2 linked regions of the Nothobranchius furzeri genome follow. The protein of the gene in region 1 purifies or fractionates together with the protein of each later gene. This does not show direct contact. Links are inferred from orthologs where the notes say so. Each region holds a gene or a part of one and is shown in the gene's direction. Other genes may lie near its edges.

Region 1 (3,707 bases):
AAGAAGTTATCTATGGTTGGTTAGTTGTTTAGTAGTTGCAGCTTCGGTGGCTAGCGGGTAGTAACTCACTTATATTTTTGATTTAATAAACATATCTCGTTATATATTTATATTGAAACTAATACATATAAAATATGACCTCATCTCCCGTGTCACGTGACGTTACGTGACCGCCATGGAAGCCACGGTCACGTGATGCAAGTCTGTTCCATTTAACCGTTTTCTTTGACCAAGGAAGGACCGTGTCCTCGTAAGCAAGGCGCCTGGCCTCACAAGACATCGCCTCGCAAGGCCAGGCGCCTTGACATTGAGAAACATCCTCTGTGTCCAGTATCCAGATAACTTAATAGGGGAACTATCGGTCTATCTGGCATTTATTCATAGTCTGGATATTCCCAGAACTTCCTGGACATTGTGTGCTCTGACATTCTTCTTCTTTGTTGTTTTCCTCTTGTCCAACAAGGACGTTAGCTGTAGCTCAGGTTAGCGTTTGCAGTAGCTCTGCGGTTCAGCATTACTTCTACCAACATTTATAATGGCAGATTCGGAAGAGGGTTGGGGCATGCATAATTAAGGGTGATTTGGAAACCTAGAAGGTATTTTGGACCACCATGTGACATAACATCAGCTGGACAGTCCTGATGGACCTGCTGCCCGTATTCTCCATCGTGGCTTATGTTGTACTATGTTATTCATGAGGCAGAACTTCTGTCACCTCTGGGACAGACAATAAAGCAGTTTCATTTCCAGTCATTTAGTTCAAGTGATTTGTCTTTTTCCTGATTGTTTTATTCCCTTAATTTATCTCAACACATATTTTGTTCAGATTGGCAACAGAATTATGAAATATACACATCTGTGAAAGCACTCACACTTAATCTTCATAAATCAGACCAAACATGTTCAAAGAAATGTTAGCGAAAAGAACATGGATTCAACAAAATTACTGAAGAGGCATATTCACTTTCATTTTCCCTGCATTTGCCTAGAAATCGATCTAATGGTAGTAGTGGCAAAAGACTTGGCTCTGCAGGTCGGTCTGGCCACACTACATGACAGCCTCAGCAGATCTACCACTGGCCTGAAGAGTTTTGCTTCTTGCAATTCACATCACTCTATGTTTATTGGATGGCCTCAGCACCAGAGCTATGATGGAGAAAAACTACAAAGATGGCATCGACTCAGGAATGGTGCTAGTTCTGCTGTGTGCTTTTAACATCTTGATCTAGTGGAGCAACCCGTGTTCTGACCTCCACCCCCCAAATGTGCTTGTGTGAATGTTTGAATGATTGATTGTGTTGTAAAGCACCTTAGGGGGCCATTTTTTATTTAAAGTGTAATTTTAGCACAGACTAATTTCAAGACAAATTGTTTAAAAAAATGAAAAAGTTGCTTAGTATTGACGAGCGTATTTTCCTACTGCTGTCACTGCCCCCTACTGGACAGCAGCAGCTACAGCAGAAACCCAGATATTACACTCTCATCTAAAAACAAAAACATTCATTTAATGAATTATAAATGGTGGGTTGTTTATCACCAATAGGCTTACATTTGAAAAACACATCCAACCAGTAAAGGAAAAAAAAGTCTTGGGGGGCTTTTATTTTGTCAGGCCCACCGGAAGCGTGTCGCCTTCCAGTGGGCTGGTTTCCTCAATAAGCGGAAGTACAAGGTGAAGAGAAACTTTCGGGTTTGTTAAGAGTTGTTTTTCAACCTGGTTCTGATGTGACCCACTCGGTTCTGTAAAGTGGAGGAGTTCGGTTCTCGAGCAAAAATGGCGGGAGGGTTCCGACGAGAACAGTTCCTATTCAAACTTCCCTCTCCCGTCAACTGGGAGTTCTGCCGAGTCATGGACGGACTGTCGGACTTGGACTGGACCCGGTTCGGTGAGTTCCCCTCTAGAACACTCGACAAACAGGTCCCCTGGATCCGTATCAATCTACACCTGACCAGAGTCACGTGCTGCGGGCGACGGTCTGCTTTGAAGTGTCTCAGCTGATTGTTCTGCTGTCATGTGGCCCCGCCCACACCTGGAGCGACAAACAGGACCCCCACGCACCCCCTCCCAGGGTTGACCCGGAGAAGCTTGGCTGTGATTTTTGCCCGTTGTGGAGCAGGTGTAGCCCCGCCTCTCACCTGGTTCAAACGTCACACCTGTCCCAGTGACTTGTTAAACATTCCTGCTGCATTTAGTTACTTCTTATTTCCAGTTTCGGGTTTTCACTCATTCATGTCTCATTTGCACAGCTTTCCATTCCCCGTGAATATTCTGCTGCAGTCTTAACAGAATTTTATTTTTAATGCGGTAAATTTAATTAAATCTTCTAAATATTTACATATTTATTTAAACTGACCAGACGGCAATGGAATTTATTCCATTCTTTCCCCTGAGACTCCACTCGGGATGAAGCAGCTCCACAACATTCTCAAATCCTTCCCTTGAGTGAGGTGACAGTGGCACAGGAGATTGCAGAAGGTTGCAGGTTTGAGCCCCGCTCAGTTTGTCGCTCCTTTAGCAAGACACTTAACCCCCCTGCCTGCCGGAGGGACCGGCGGCGCCTGTGCTTGGCAGCCTCGCCTCCGTCAGTGTGCCTCAGGGCAGCTGTGGCTACATCATAGCTCATCCCTACCAGGGTGTGAACGGGTGAATGACTGGTTGTGTTGTAAAGCGCCTTGAGGGGTTCCAGGACTCTAGAAGGCGCGATATCAAATACAGACCATTTACCGTTCTGTCTGCAGCCTCGGAGGTGCTGAAAGACCAGACGGCTGTGCGACTGGCTGAGAGGCAGGCCCAGCGGACCGACTGGGTGATGAACCAATGGGGATGCAGGAACGGTCGAGTTGGAGAGCTGATTGACTTGTTAGAGTCGCTGCAGCTTTTTAGGCCACGAGATGTCATCTTGACCTGTAAGTACACCTCTGACCTCTGACCCTATATACAGGGAGCCCAAGTCTCCTCCCTCTCCGGTCGGCTCACGGGTCTCCGAAAGAACCAAAAAATGAATGCAAGTCGCTTTGCCTCACGCCCTGGATCGCACACGTTGTCCTGCAATTTAAATGAAAAGCAATGAAGTGTGTTTCGACCACGCCTGTCACGTACGTGGAGGTCGATCGTACCGCACCAGGTTTATTCATAAAGCACGTTTAAAGCGCCGTGCAGCAGCTGACCAAAGTGCTGTACGGTGGTAGAAAGAAGGATGTCAGCAGCGACTCGAACCGAGTCAGTGACTGGGCTTGTCCAACACAGAGGGGAAGGTCGTAATTAGCATAACGTGCATTCATTTTTTCGTTCCTCCCATGGTCCGGAAGTAGATGGACGTGACTTAGGCTCCATATTAGAAGAATGTTCACCCCTTCTTATGTCTGCAGGGACTCAGGCGATGAATCCTTCCTCCTTTGCTCCTCCTCCTCTTCCTCCTCCGCCACCTCCTCCTCGTCTCCCTTCTCCTCCACCGTATGAGCAGCCCACAGGTAGACCCAAAACAAGCCTGCCCATTGCTCTGATCAGCTGTTCTCCATCTGTTTTCCATCATCATCATCATTGGGGCGACGGTGGCACAGGAGTTAAGTGCTCGCCCCGTAATCGGAAGGTTGCAGGTTCGAGCCCCGCTCAGTCTGTCGCTGTCGTTGTGCCCTTGGGCAAGACACTTAACCCACGTTGCCTGCTGGTGGTGGTCAGAGGGACCGGCGGCGCCAGTGCTCGGCAG
Region 2 (3,752 bases), on another chromosome or scaffold:
GACACTACAGCAGAATGCCCAAGAATGAGCTGAGATCGAACTGGACACCCTAAGATTTCTGGACAGCCCACTCTTCCTCCTGAGCTACTGCTGCCCCTCTGTGCAGAAGTTATAAGTAGTCCCTGTGTCAGCTGTTCATGGCTGCCCGAAAGGCCTCCGTTCAGAGAAATAGCTTGTGTCCTTCAGGAAGGAAAGCTGTAGCAGCTAGTCTGAGCTAACGGCTAATTGGGGTGCAGCTATGGCCAAATATATTCCCGCAATTAGCTCCAGTCTCTGAGTCGCATGCTGCTGGATTTGGTGACGCTGCTGCCTCACGGCAAGATGGTTGCTAGTTCAAATCCCAGTTAAAATGTTCTTCCCCACGTGTATGCACGTCTCTTTGGGGCCGAAAGCGCTTTGGAGTCCTCTGACTGTACAAGTGCGGGCCGTTTAGCATTCATTTGGGTAGAAGCTACATAAAAATGAACGAACAAACAACAACAAGCATATTTATCACAGAGGATCATGGGACATCAGTTTAGAAGCGGCCACGCTGCGGTCAGTCCCTCTAGACTGGGTTATTTTCATGGATCTCTGTGATTTCTTGCATGGAATTGAGTTGTTTGTGTGGATTTCTGTGCTTCTGTCTCCAAGCGCCTAACGAGCCGTGTGTCTCTGTTCCTCAGCTGGACGAGGAAGCCGTGGCCTCCATGTTGGCAGATTTTGTTGCGTGTCCTCCTGATGATGAAGATGTCGCCACGGGATCTAATGGCTGAAGAAACCCTCTCCTCCCCAGGAGGCAGTTCTTCTAGAAAACCAACTCTGGTCTCATTTCCAGTTTTACTTTATTAAAAGACTTTTGTCGTGCTGAACGTTGTTCTGGATGTTTTTTGAGCCGGTGGTCCACCTGTTACACGATAAACACGTGGAGCTTGGAAGCCAGTAAAAGTCAGACCTGCAGCATCTCGCAGTAACCCGAAGCTCTGACCGGAGCACGTGGCTTCCTGTTTACGGCGTGTCTCTGCGGTAAATGTGTTTGTTGGGATCTGAATGTATCCATGATGGGTTTTTTTTCCCATGTTTTGTGCTTTAGTATAAAAATTGAATAATGACTGAGTGGATGGTTTTTAGATGCATCTGGTTCTGAGTGCTGCAGGTAAGTGTGGCTCTTACACACACACACACACACAAGCTGAATCCATAAACGGGCCTGGTCAGCTGCTCTGAAGCTCAGATGTTGTAATGAAGCCATGTTTTCTATTCCGTGAACTCACCATCGCTGATTCACACCGTCATCAACTTCAACCCTAACCAGGTGAAGCAGAACATAGAAACCGATCTGGTACCAGTTGGTGGTGCTGGTTCGGGTGTGATGGATGGTTTATAATTCGAAACTGATGATGATGATGATGCTGTCACGATCCGGTACCGGGGCTGAAAGCTGCCTTTGGACCCCCTGATCGTGTAGGGGACCAGAAGGTGGGAGGAGATGTGGCCGCGTCACCGGGCTGTCTGCTGACATCAGGACGTGTCTCAGGGAGGGAGGGGTGGGACGTGGCCACGCTCTTCTCCGCCTCTCGTTCCTCTTGCTGGTACCCTTAATGGATCCCGAACCGTGCGGGAACTGACGGAGCCCACAGCGGGAACCTGGGAGAACCAAGCCGTTGCTGGACCTCTCCTGGCAGACATCAGCAGGTAAAGCTGCTCCTCCATCAGCATCCGGGGAGGAGGAGGTGGGTGGAGGCTCTAATGGTGCTTATACCAGCCGCTGTAAGGCTTCTAGACGGGAGGATGCTCTGTGTGTGTGTGTGTGTGTGTGTGTGTGTGTGTGTGTGTGTGTGTGTGTGCACCGAGCCCGTGCGCACGTCACTAACAGCCATGTTTTCTGATGAAGAGGGACCGAGGCGCGTCTCCGGTCAGACCCGTTAGGGGTAAAGCTCGGGAACCGCAACAACCGGGCTGACGAGCGATGGCTGATCTGGAACCAGTCCAGCCTCCGTAGCGCATTACCGGACCGGTGTGAGGCTTCTAGACGGTTCCAGGCTGGTCTGCACTGTCTGATTAAAGGTGGGTCCGTGTTCCGATCCAACACTGATGAGCGTGCCGTCTGGGCTCAGGCTCGGTTCGGTCTCGTGGTTTGGCTGGGTGGATGTGGATCGCAGGACGCGTGATGAACCTGAACTCACCCTGATCATAAACCATCTAGTGCTGCAGAGACGACACCACGTGGTGCGTTCAGTGTCCTCCAGCATCAGTCGGTAAATGGGGATTTTCCTGCGCGTAGAGGTCGTGAAGACATTGCCTGGGGGTCACGTGGTTACTAATGTCCATTCCCCTTAAACTCAGCAGATGTTTCAGGGTTAGTGCTGAAATCCAAACTGATGCCTCTATCGGTCAGTAGTCCGCCCGGGGTGGCGGAGGTCCCTTGGTCCATAGGCTCTGGCTGAGTTGGTTGCTCTGCAATGGACATCAGGGGGGATCCATCAGGTCTGCTGTTTCCAGATGATGTGGTCCTGGTGGCTTCATCACATTGTGATCTCCAACTTTGCTGGAGCGGTAAACTAGTACACCTTTTAGTACACTACAAGCACTAAGTACTTAGCATACTTGTTATCCTTAATGAAATGAACCTCAACATTTAGCTCAGGATGTTAACCAGGGATTGTGCCAGGCATGTGGAAGACGGGTGGGCACTCCACTCCTTTGAGTCACTTTGAACTGAACAAACGCCTGGCTCAGCAGGTAACACCAGGTGTATCAGGCAGATGTTAGGGCAGAGGTAGTAAGGGAGGCAGGAAGACCCAGACTGTTGGTTTCCCTCTGAACGGAGACGTTACAGCAGCAGAAGTGTCGGACCTCACCGAGTTTTCATGCAGAGTTTACACTAAGACGCGACGCTGTCGGGGGAAGCTCACTCTCTCCGTGTCAGAAATACGAGTCGTTTAAAACCAGTTTGCATTATTCAGTGTACTGAAACCGTCGCCTGCATCCATCTGGGACAGCGCGCGGTTCAGCTTCCACCAGTCCTCTCGTTTGGTGTCACGCTACAACAAACCATTCTTCCAGACTTTACGGAGCGGATGTTGCCACACGGATCTTTGGATTTGGTGTTTCTGATGAAGCAAAACACGTAAAAACACACTTTTGTTATCATGGCCTTTGTGCTTATCAGCAGCCCTGATTATTAGCATCACATGCTAACTCTGGTCTGTGAGGAACCACAGAGCCGGACTAGTGATGTGTTTGTGCTGATGTGCTCTGTTTTCTGTACAACACACCAGATCCTGCACAGTTTCATCTTTTTGTATTTGGTCTCCTTTAACCTGAGTTCTTGGCCTGTTGTCTGGTGGTGCGCTCACCCCCACAGTGGCTCTGGAACCCGTCCTCTCTGCAGGAGGTCAGGAGACAAATGGGCTTCTTGCTCGTCTTAGAGACTCTTTTCCTGTAGAGTGCGGGTTAGCTCTCCTGTATCTTCAGTATCTGACTGTTATTTGCCCCTATGTGTCAAACTGCAGCTATTTTTGGAAAACCCGCGCCAAGTGATGGACAATCCGAGGACTCTAGTCTCCATAGTCCAGCTGGGGGGATTCTGAAGTGGGCAATGACAGTGAGACCTGGATTACTATGGCGCGGTATGGGGGCCAAAATTAAGACTACTGCCCAGCAGCAGGAGGCTATATAAATTCTGAAGCAAACTACTGATCTGATTGATGATAAGCTGGCACCGGTAACTGAGAGGCGCTGCTTGCTGAGGAATAGCACCTTTACCGGCG

The links. Proteins that work in one complex are often made in the same cells at the same time.
Region 2: the proteins of irak1 (region 1) and peli3 purify together in Homo sapiens (affinity purification with western blotting; 7 studies listed by BioGRID and IntAct, with this or other methods). This does not show direct contact. The link is inferred for Nothobranchius furzeri from reciprocal best matches to the Homo sapiens genes IRAK1 and PELI3.

Annotation. Positions count from the first base shown.
Region 1 is NC_091755.1:47,789,850-47,793,556, reverse strand, and holds the start of irak1 (interleukin-1 receptor-associated kinase 1), read left to right. Parts: upstream 1-885; 5' UTR 886-1,774; coding exon 1,775-1,886; intron 1,887-2,739; coding exon 2,740-2,907; intron 2,908-3,369; coding exon 3,370-3,471; intron 3,472-3,707.
Region 2 is NC_091743.1:86,669,470-86,673,221, forward strand, and holds the start of peli3 (E3 ubiquitin-protein ligase pellino homolog 1), read left to right. Parts: upstream 1-1,516; 5' UTR 1,517-1,674; exon of another isoform or gene 1,675-1,712; intron 1,713-1,873; exon of another isoform or gene 1,874-2,046; intron 2,047-3,752. UniProt on the Homo sapiens protein: E3 ubiquitin ligase catalyzing the covalent attachment of ubiquitin moieties onto substrate proteins. Involved in the TLR and IL-1 signaling pathways via interaction with the complex containing IRAK kinases and TRAF6.